Sus scrofa: one gene and its partners. The protein of the gene in region 2 binds, or shares a complex with, the protein of the main gene of each other region. Links are inferred from orthologs where the notes say so. Each region holds a gene or a part of one and is shown on either strand. Other genes may lie near its edges.

What was found.
Region 1: APBA1 (region 2) and LIN7A share a complex: the UniProt entries of both Homo sapiens proteins name them as parts of the brain-specific heterotrimeric complex. The link is inferred for Sus scrofa from reciprocal best matches to the Homo sapiens genes APBA1 and LIN7A.
Region 3: APBA1 (region 2) and LIN7B share a complex: the UniProt entries of both Homo sapiens proteins name them as parts of the brain-specific heterotrimeric complex. The link is inferred for Sus scrofa from reciprocal best matches to the Homo sapiens genes APBA1 and LIN7B.

Annotation. Positions count from the first base shown.
Region 1 is NC_010447.5:100,669,607-100,673,259, reverse strand, and holds part of LIN7A (protein lin-7 homolog A), read right to left. Parts: intron 790-3,653; coding exon 571-789; intron 1-570. UniProt on the Homo sapiens protein: Plays a role in establishing and maintaining the asymmetric distribution of channels and receptors at the plasma membrane of polarized cells.
Region 2 is NC_010443.5:222,836,445-222,838,938, forward strand, and holds part of APBA1 (amyloid beta A4 precursor protein-binding family A member 1), read right to left. Parts: exon of another isoform or gene 1,615-2,494; 5' UTR 1,546-1,614; coding exon 346-1,545; intron 1-345. UniProt on the Homo sapiens protein: Putative function in synaptic vesicle exocytosis by binding to Munc18-1, an essential component of the synaptic vesicle exocytotic machinery. May modulate processing of the amyloid-beta precursor protein (APP) and hence formation of APP-beta.
Region 3 is NC_010448.4:54,308,738-54,312,473, forward strand, and holds the start of LIN7B (protein lin-7 homolog B), read left to right. Parts: upstream 1-814; 5' UTR 815-850; coding exon 851-887; intron 888-1,316; coding exon 1,317-1,435; intron 1,436-1,716; coding exon 1,717-1,788; intron 1,789-2,374; coding exon 2,375-2,584; intron 2,585-3,736. UniProt on the Homo sapiens protein: Plays a role in establishing and maintaining the asymmetric distribution of channels and receptors at the plasma membrane of polarized cells.

The DNA of each region.
Region 1 (3,653 bases), on a different chromosome or scaffold from region 2:
AACCTCATATGCCATGAGTGCGGCCTTTAAAAAAATATATACACACACGTATCTCACAGCATAAGCACTAGCAGGTCTCTACTTCATCCTTTCCAGTGCAGCAGTTTGCTAGTAAACCGTGCTTCAGTAGTCTAAAGGAGAGCTTCCTAGGCTCTGCTCTACATGGTTGTTAAGTTTGTACAATGTGCAAAAGCAACTAGCTACGGTGGTGAGGGGGGCTGGAATCTAGCCCACACACCGTCGTCCAGCCACGTGCCTGGGGATGGGTTTGCATAGAGGCCGCATTTCTGTACTCTGCATATAGGCACTGTACAGTCTATACCTAGCCCTCCCAAAGTATGTCATTTTTCAAATATCTTAAATTTGCTGAGAATGTGGCTGAATCACACATAAAGGAAGCAACTGTGGGGTTTACACTTTCTGAGGTCATTGTTTTTTGTTTGATTTTTTATATTAGTATTAAATCTAATGATTATGTTCCAGCTGTCTAAGAAATTATGTTAAAAAAAAAACAAACCCGAAGTTGTATGTGTAAGGGACTTTCCTTGTATGGAAAAAGGCACCTCTCACCTATGACATATGGTTTTGCTGTGTTTGTTGCTGCTGCTGCTGTTGCTGCTGCTGAATTAGCAATTGCTGCTGCTGCCGACGCCGCGCTGTCCGGAGCTTTTCAAATCGAGCCTCCATTTCTTCCAAGACTTTTGGGGTGTATCGGACCACCAGCTTGACACTGTCCTTAGCAGCCTTGAGGAGTTCCACGGCTTTCTCATGGTGTTCCCCTTCCACACTCTGGAAAGACAGTGACATTTCTTAAAGGGGAGAGTTGCCACATTCTTTGCTCTAGAGCCAAATTTAAAATTCGTATCAAAAGTATAGTCCTGGTTTGAAATTTCCAGATGGCAAAGGGGATTCGCTACCATCATTATTAGTTATTACATTTGTAGCTGAACCAACCATCAGGCTGCACCGGGGTGCAGGACAGAGGTTCAAGCTAGGAGGGTGAGAGGCAATGAAGACCTCAGAGATAACACTAACACTGAGAATGCGCTTTCTAAATTTCCGGGGAAGGAAATGAATTATTCCGGAAACGTGGAAAAAATTTGAAAAGAGTAAGGAAGGGGGACTTTGCCTGTCTGATTTTAACATTTATTAAGAATCTACAATGCTGAAAGCAATGTCTCATTGGTGTAGTAAGAGACAGTAGAAGGAAATGGAGTCTAGAAGTAGATCCATCACATACAATTTTATCCTATGATAAATGTAGGATTTAGACCAAACGGGAAAAGGACTGTTAAATCTTGATGCTGGGACAGATAATAATTAAATGATAAAAAATAGTGTGGACTCCAATCTCACAGTCTATGCGAAAGATAACAGAATGATTAAACATTCACATGTCAAAATAAAACCATGAAACAACTGAAGCACAGGTCAATGTTATCATCTGGTGATGCACAAGGAATTCTCAAGTAAAAACGGCAAGAAACTCCCCACAAAGTCATATTTAACAACGGTACCTTTCAGTCTCACACACCATTAAAAAAGTCAAGTAGCAAACGGAAAAAAATATTTTCAACACAGGAGTCAATTTGTTACGAATACTCTTCAAACGAAGTGCTCTTACAAGTCAATAAAGATTAAGCAAAATGGGCAAGTTAATAACCATTTCAAAAAATGGCCAGAGTTGCTGCTGTGTCACAGTGGGTTAGGAATCCAATCGTAGTGCCTTTGGGTCCCTGCAGCGTGCAGGTTCGATTCCTGGCTTGGCGAGGTACATTAAAGGACCCAGCATTGCTGCAGCTGTAGCATAGGTAGCAGCTGTGGCTGGGATTCAATCCCTGGCCTGGGAACTTCCATGTGCCGAGTGTGTGAGCGAAAAATGGAAAAAAAAAAAAGGTCAATAAACCTATGAAGAAAGTCCAAGCTCCCTGATAAAGAAATATAGATGAAAAAAAAAATTTTTAACACTTAAGTGTAGACTTAATTTTTTTCCTATTTTTAAAATGTTTTGGAGTATAGTTTATTTACAATATTGTAATAGTTTCAAGTTACAGCAAAGTGAATCAGTTATACATATAAATATATCCATTCTTTTTTCCCACATAGGTTATTACAGAGTAGACCTCCTTGTGCTATACGGTGGGTCCTGGTTCGCTGTCTGTTTTATGTAGAGTCGTTTGTATGTGTTAATCCCATCCTCCCAATTGATTCCTTCTCCCACCCCACAGTTTGCCCTTTAGTAGCCATAAGTTTGATTTTAAAATGGTAAAGATATATTTTTGAATATGGTGTACCGAGAAGGATAGAGAAAAAAGGTATTCTCTCTTACTGTGAAAAAGATAACAAAACCTAGTACAGTTTTCCTGGAGGGCACTATTGTTACTCATTGGATAACCCCTTTAAAAAGGAAGACTCAGGGAAATTCACTATGGAAGTATTTAGATATACATATGTACCTATAAGACATGTTACAGAAAGAAAAAAAAAAATCAGTTCTTGGCTTTTGAGTTTCAAAATACTCTTTTGACCATCATGGCATAGGCAGTAGTTGGGCAAACAATGTTTACTATAAGTAAACTCAAAGAGTGGTGCAGCAGGATTAGGGGCATCTTGGGAGCACTCGGGTGCAGGTTTGATCCCCAGCCTGGGACTGTTGGTTAAGGATCTGGCGTTGCTGCAGCTATGGCTTGGGTCTGATCCCTGACCTGGGAACTCCATGTACCTTGGGGCGGCCAGAAGAGAAAAAAGAAACAAGGGGCTTCTCTTAAACCTTCTAAAGTTTCTCTGGGTTGGAATTAGGAAGAAGAAAAACAGAAGAAAGCTGTAATCAGGCATTCTAGGACCCAGAGAAGAGACAGTCCTTCCCTCTCAGCTGATGCCCAGGGCGGAAGACATAACCTCAAGTGCTTCCTGGGAAAGCTCAGAAGAGAAACCGCTGTGTGATGTGGCAGACAGGGACTGATATGGGCTTAAACACTGCCAGGACACCGAAGAGGGGCACTGGAGTGGCAGAGAAGGCCACCTGACACGGGCTCAGATTACATTCTCACCACCCCAGCAGAAGGGGAACTAAAATGAGTATTACATTGAGTGACAAAAAAATACCTTGCATTTTAAGCACACTTAAATTGTATCTTGAGATTCATAATTATGACTGTTACAGAGGTTTGGAGACTTAAGAAATTGTATTCTGTTCTGCCGTGTGCTTCGCAAGGTGGATGTGGCCTGAGAAAACAGAAAGCTTTGAATTTAGCAAGGAGCCAGTCATCGGTGGCCTTGAGTCATCTGTCCGAGAACCAGGCAGACAGTCAGGGTTTAAGAAATGACTGTGGAGAGCCCTGGAGGCAACTTATATAACCACTCCTTCGCCACGTCTGGTCTAAATAGAGAGGCAAAGGTTTATAAATAGCTGTTGAGCAGAGTGAATTTTTATCTGTGAATTTTTAAGCCCAGGAAAATAGGCGTATTCATTGATTAATTTATTCCTTGATTCACTCAATCGCTGACTTGGTCACTCAACAGAGTGGTCACTTAAGCATGCATTATTCTATTCCGTTGTTTGGAAGAGCGTGGACAGGGGACGGCTTTGACAACTTTGTACAATTTAAAGTGTGTTTACAGTGTGCTTGTAATTTCTTTGTAATTTGCCCCAA
Region 2 (2,494 bases):
TTGTTTACTGGATGCTAGCAATGCAAATTTTTAGGCTCTGCCCCGCCCCTTCTAAGTGAGAAACTGGGGAACAGGGAGTAGTGGAAATCGATTTCTGAACAAGCGCTCCAAGGGCTGTTTGAGAAACACTGATTTATGCAACCTCTCCTCACTTCATCCCCTCCCACCTGTATTTCACTCACTGGGGCTTTAGTGCAAGCTGTCTCTGAAGCTTACGGTGGACACGATTTTTAGCGTCCCCACTGATCATTTATCTCATCAAGTCATCTCCCAATGACCACCCAGCGCCCGTCTCCCAGAAGACCGCGCCTAGAGCTGGGCAAGTCCGAATCCGCACACACTTACATCTCCATCCACCGGCCTCTGGTCGTCACAATCCTTGGTGGGACTAATATCCTGGCGCATGACCCAGATGGGCTCTTTGGGCTCGTCGGGGGTGTAAGGCGAACGGATGGTCCTGGTTTTCACTTCCTCGATGGCCTCCTTGATGTCCTTGATGGCCAGCGAGATGGCATCCCTTTTCTCCTTGCTGTACCGCTGCACCGCCTCGCTGCCCACGGTACCCGCCAGCCGCTGTTGCCCCGCCAGGGTCTGCAGGCCAGGGCTGTCGGGGCGGCCCCCGCCTGGGGTAGGAGCACGCTCCAAGTCCTGCTCGGCCTCGGGCATGTCCTCGGCTGCTTTGTCGAGGCTCTGTGAGCTCATGCTCTGCTTGACCTCAGCCACGATCTGGTCGATGTCCTCCTCCTGCTCGTAGCTGTCCATGCGCGGGTAGGGCGCGAACTCGGCCTCCTTCTCCGGGCTATCAGACTCGCCGTCGGAGCGTTCATCATAGTGGTGTAGCCGCGCGCCCAGGGCCTCCTGGCGATACGCAGCTGCTTCGTCGCGCTCCTGCTCGTACAGCCTCAGGCCGTCGTGCCCGTCCAGCTCGGGCGCGTCTCCGATCTCCTCGTACACGTGCTCCTGGAGGCCCCCGTAGTCGGCGTAGGGTTCAGCGTAGGGCTCGTCCTCGCCGCGGTGGAAGAGCCGGTGCGTGTAGACGTAACCCGAGTATGCAGCGTTCATGGCCTCCTCGTGTTCCAACGAGTGGAAGTGCAGGTGGTTGGGCAGTGTGCGGCGGTGCGTGGCCTCCGCATGCTCGGCCTCCGCCTGCTCCGTGTACTCCTCGGCCTCGGGTCGGTACTGCACGGCGTATGCGCTCTCGTCCTCTGGGTCCTGCGCGCGCTCGGCGTCGTAGCCGTCGCGGGCCGCGGCAATAACGTCGCCCTCAGCGGTGTCCGTGTGGTTGTGAAAGCCGCTCTCGGTGCTGGCAGAGCGCGCCAGGCACTCCCCGCGCTCCTCCTCTTCCTGCTGCTGCCCGGGCGATGCTCGGAGGTCTTCGACAGCGCGCCCGCGCGAGGGTCGGCCCCCATAGTGCTGCTGCTGCTGCTGCTCCTCCTCCACTTCGGGGTGCTCCAGGTCGGCCTCTACCAGCTCGTTCACCTCCCCGCCTGGCGCCTCGTCGGTCACTTCCACCTCCGCCTCCGCGGCCCCCTCCAAGTGGTTCATGGTGGGCGTCGGGGACGGCTGGGAGAGAGGTTGGGCCGGCTCAAAGCGCTCTCATTTTGTTCTGCCCGGCTGGAAAAACAAGAAGGGAGGGGTTGTTAACGTGGTTCAGACTGTAGTCAGAAGCTGAGTACCAAGATAACCATAAAACTAGCTGTTATTGATCCCTTCTGAATCAGGGTCAATTAAAAAGTGATTGCAAATGTAAGCTCATTCTGACGGCACGTAGTTCATCTTCGTAGCACGTGTCGTAATTTGTAATTACATAGCTCCTTGTTTAATTGCTTACTGGCTTTCTCCCTTCCCCACCCGTCTAACTGAGAGCCTCCTGAGCCTTTAGTTCCCCCACAGCTTACTATTCAGGTTCTGTTTCTGATGCATTTGAATAGAGAGTACTACTAAATTGAATGAGGCAATTGACACATTTTCCATCTGCTAAGAGATAAATCTCTGTAAATTAAACTAGGATCCTAGATACTCTAGAAACGATTCTTTAAATAATTTCAAGGGAAAAAATAATCTTGGAATGTTTTGAAGGCATTGCTGTCAATACAAATATGCAGCCGTTCTGAGGGAAGCCAGCAGCAGTATGTTCTAGTTGTGTCATTACTGGCTCTGTTGCCTTGGGTTGAGTGGCTTAATTTTCTGGACCTCCGTTATGAGACTGGACTCATTTCCTACAGCAGGATGTTAACAGTTATTACACAGAAGGGAAAAAAAAAAAAAAAAGACTCCATGGTTAAATAAGTTTGGGAAAGGCCAGCTGAGTGTTGACTTCTCATTATAAATAATTCAAGGGAGGAAGATAGACTGCAGGGTTCCCAAACCTGTCTGACTGGGAAATGCTTTTTTCCTAGAGGCCAGTGTTCTGAGACGTGCACTTAACAGAAACACTGACTAGCTGACTTCTAATACTCACTTCCCTCATACACCTAAAAATCTTTGATTCTAT
Region 3 (3,736 bases), on a different chromosome or scaffold from region 2:
AACCGCATCCTGCCGACCTGTTCACCTTCCTCATAAACAGCTCCAGTTCATGGAGTTCCCCTGGTGGTGCAGCGGAAACGAATCCGACTAGGAACCATTGGGGTTGCGGGTTCCATCCCTGGCCTTGATCAGTGGGTTAAGGATCTGGCGGTGCTGTGAGCTGTGGTGTAGGTCGCAGACCAGGCTCGGATCTGGCGTGGCTGTGGCGTAGGCTGGCAGCAACAGCTCAGATTGGACCCCTAGCCTGGAAACCTCCATATGCCGCCGGTGTGGCCCTAAAGACAAAAAAGACAGAACAGAAAACCAGAAAACTCCAATTCTTACTCTGCTATCCAACCATGTGGGCTCTTTCGGTCTAGAAAGTGACTCACGAGCCACCTCTGGAGCTCTCCTCCAAGGACTCTATGTCAATGTCCCTCCTGGATCCCAATTCTGATCACGGTCGTAGTTTAGTGTCTACCCGCCCCCCACCCCCCGACTAAGCTCCAGGACGGCAGTGGACTTGTGTACCCTGCTCATCACCACGCCGGTCATCTTGGGCCGAGATGTTTAACAAGTTGTCTAATAAATCTGGGAGAAAGGGATAGACAGGGGACAGACAGGTGTGGCGGGCAGCTCAGATAGACTGAGATGAAAGGTGGTGCAGACGCTGCAATGGACGGTCACAAACTCAGCGGACCGATGGAGTTTGAGGGCAGGGGAGCGAGCCCCGAGCGGAGGCCGGTAGGGCGGTGCGCACGCCAGGCCGCGCCTCTGCAGGTGGCGCTCGTCGCCGGGGCGTGGCCTCGCGCAGCCCCGCCTTCCTCGCCGGCGACCCGGCAGGCGGGTGCCTCGCAGCGGCGGCGCAGACATGGCTGCGCTGGTGGAGCCGCTGGGGCTGGAGCGGGGTAAGCGCGCCAGGCGGCCCTGCCCACCCGGCCGCGGCCTGCGTCCGGGACCCGGGCCCCGGACTCCGGGCCCCGCCCCTCCCCCGGCGGGGCCCAGGCGGGTGGGCGGGCCCGGCGGGGGTGGGCGGGGCGGGTCGCAGCAAGTCAGGCTGTCGATGGGCGTGGGAGGGTCGGCGGGCCCGCTGGACGGCGAGGGGGAGCCCGCCGCCCACCTCCGGCCGTGTGTGCCTGGGGATCCTGGGGACGCAGGGTGACTGGTGGCAGTCTCTCCACTGCCGCCGGCAGCTCTGCGGCTGTCCGACTGGGACTTGGCTGTCTTGCCCCGGGTCTGCGCTCGCCCTTCCTCGGTCTCCGGCCGCATATCTCCGGGCTTCGCTGCGTCTTCCAGTCTCTGACTCTGTGTCTGTGCGCCCCGCCCCCGCCCCGCAGACGTGTCCCGGGCGGTGGAGCTCCTCGAGCGGCTCCAGCGCAGCGGGGAGCTGCCCCCGCAGAAGCTGCAGGCCCTCCAGCGAGTCCTGCAGAGCCGCTTCTGCTCTGCCATCCGGGAGGTGAGAGCAACGCAGCGCCAGGGCCCGAGCGGGCGGGCGGCCGTCGTCCTCCTCTGGGTCGCCCCGAGCCTGGGGACTACGCCTCCCAGCAGCGACCGGGGCGGCCTTCCTTTGGGGCGCCCGCGCTTCAGCTCAGGTGTCCATTGGGAATTGTGGTTCCCGCGGCCTCCGGGCTGCAGGGGCGGGGCGGATCTGCGGGTGGGAGGGTCTGCAGGCCCGGACTTCTGGGTTGAAGGCAGGCGGGGGCTGGCGGCTCCTCGACGCTTTTGCGTCCTCACCAGGTCTATGAGCAGCTCTATGACACGCTGGACATCACCGGCAGTGCTGAGGTCCGGGCCCACGCCACGGCCAAGGTAGGCGCCCCTCGCCCCACTGCGCCTGGCATCCTCCGAATGGGATGGGCTGGCTCAGCGTCCTCCCCACGTCGGTCAGCCGTGTTTCAGGCTTCTGCCGTGTCTGTGTACCTGCCTTACTTAAGTATAAGGCATTTTACATACGCGCCCATCTTTCGCTTAAATGTCATATAAAGGCGTCTTTTGCCACTAGAAATAGAAACTAGTACCAAATGCCTGACGGGAAGCTGACCTTCGACAGTGAAATAGCGTTAAACCCCGAAATCTTACTAAACCCCAGTTAGATGCTGTTCCCTTGCTGCTTCGTGGAGGCTCTTGGCTCTGTCCAGGCCTTGTCGTTCTGTTAAAAAGTGAGATTGGCGAGTGTTGAGTCTCCGAGACTCACGCATGCCACGTGGAGACGTTCCTCTTTGATGGGGTCCAGAGGGACTAAAGAGGACTTACGGTCGCTAAGGAGTGCTCTTGTGTTGAATGGTGGAAGCGCCCCGAGCTCGAGGGCCCAGATCTTCCACCCTAGTCTGCATGCCCATCATGGGGCCGGGGGTGGGGGGTGGCCCTCAACCTCCGGAGGCTTTCTCTCTCCCAGGCCACGGTGGCTGCCTTCACGGCCAGTGAGGGCCACGCACATCCCCGGGTAGTCGAACTGCCCAAGACGGACGAGGGCTTAGGCTTCAACATCATGGGGGGCAAGGAGCAGAATTCGCCCATCTACATCTCCCGGGTCATCCCCGGCGGCGTGGCTGACCGCCACGGAGGCCTCAAGCGTGGGGACCAGCTGCTGTCAGTGAATGGTGTGGTGAGTAGGGGGCTGAGGTCACCGTCTGTCAAGGGTAGCACGGTGCCTGTTTTTTTTGGGGGGGTGGTTCTGGAGTCGTTTGTTTTTGTTTTTGTTTTGGCTGCGCCTGCAGCACGTGGAAGTTCCCAGACTAGGGATGGAACCTGAGCCACAGCAGCGACCCAGGCCTGCAGTGACAACACCAGATACTTAACCCGCTGTGCCACAAGGGAATTCCCAGTCTCCGATTTTGACAGTCATTCAACACACACTGAGCACTGCCGCTGCGACCAGCCCTGTGCCAGCCGTTGCTGCAGACTCTGAGAGTAATTGGTCCTACATTCAAGGACTCCTTCTTTGGTGAGGGAGACAGACCCTCACTGAAAAGTCCTAAACCGGAGAGATAATAATGAAGAAGCACAAAGCATTGTGAGGGCCTGGGTGTGGCACCAGACCAGTGTAGATGAAGGATGTTTTTGCAGATGAAGGCACATTTTGAGTTGGGTTTTGAAGGATGAGTAGGAGTTCTCTGGGCAAATGAGAGGGGAAAAGGGTGTTGCTGGCTGGGGATGTTTTAGGTAGGGGCCATGACTCTGCACTCCTATGTGCCGAAGAGAAGGGGCTTGGTTCTGATAGAAGGCTGGGGCAGACAATGCAAATCACTGTGGTTAGAGTAGCTGGAAGCACAACTGGACAGGTGATTGGGGCCAGCCTGAGAAGCTGGGACTTTGTCCCAAGGGTTCCTCGTGACCAGTGGGAGGGCTGTGACTAGGGGAGGGGTATGCTCGGCCTCGAGTTGTAGAAAGACCCCTTTGTCCTTTGTGGCTTCGTTGGGGATGGACTGGAGAAAGAGACTGGAGGCCAGAAGGGCAAGGAGGGTGAGCGTCCACTGGGGAGAGGACGAGGCCTGAGCTGGGGCCTGGTGGTGGGGACAAAGAAGAGGAGTCAGGCCAGGAGGGCTGGGTCGAGCTGTGGGGAGGGAGCGGATAAAGATGAACCTGCAGTCCGGCTCCGTGACTGGGAGCATATGGGGCATTTGGAAGGTTTGGGAGAAGGACGTCAAGGCAAGTGTTAGTGACTCTCCCATGAGGACATGAGGACCTGGTGTCTTGGGGCTGGTACCAGGCTCACCTACAGCTGGTCTCATTTCCAGGGTGGGGGCGGGGGTGAGGG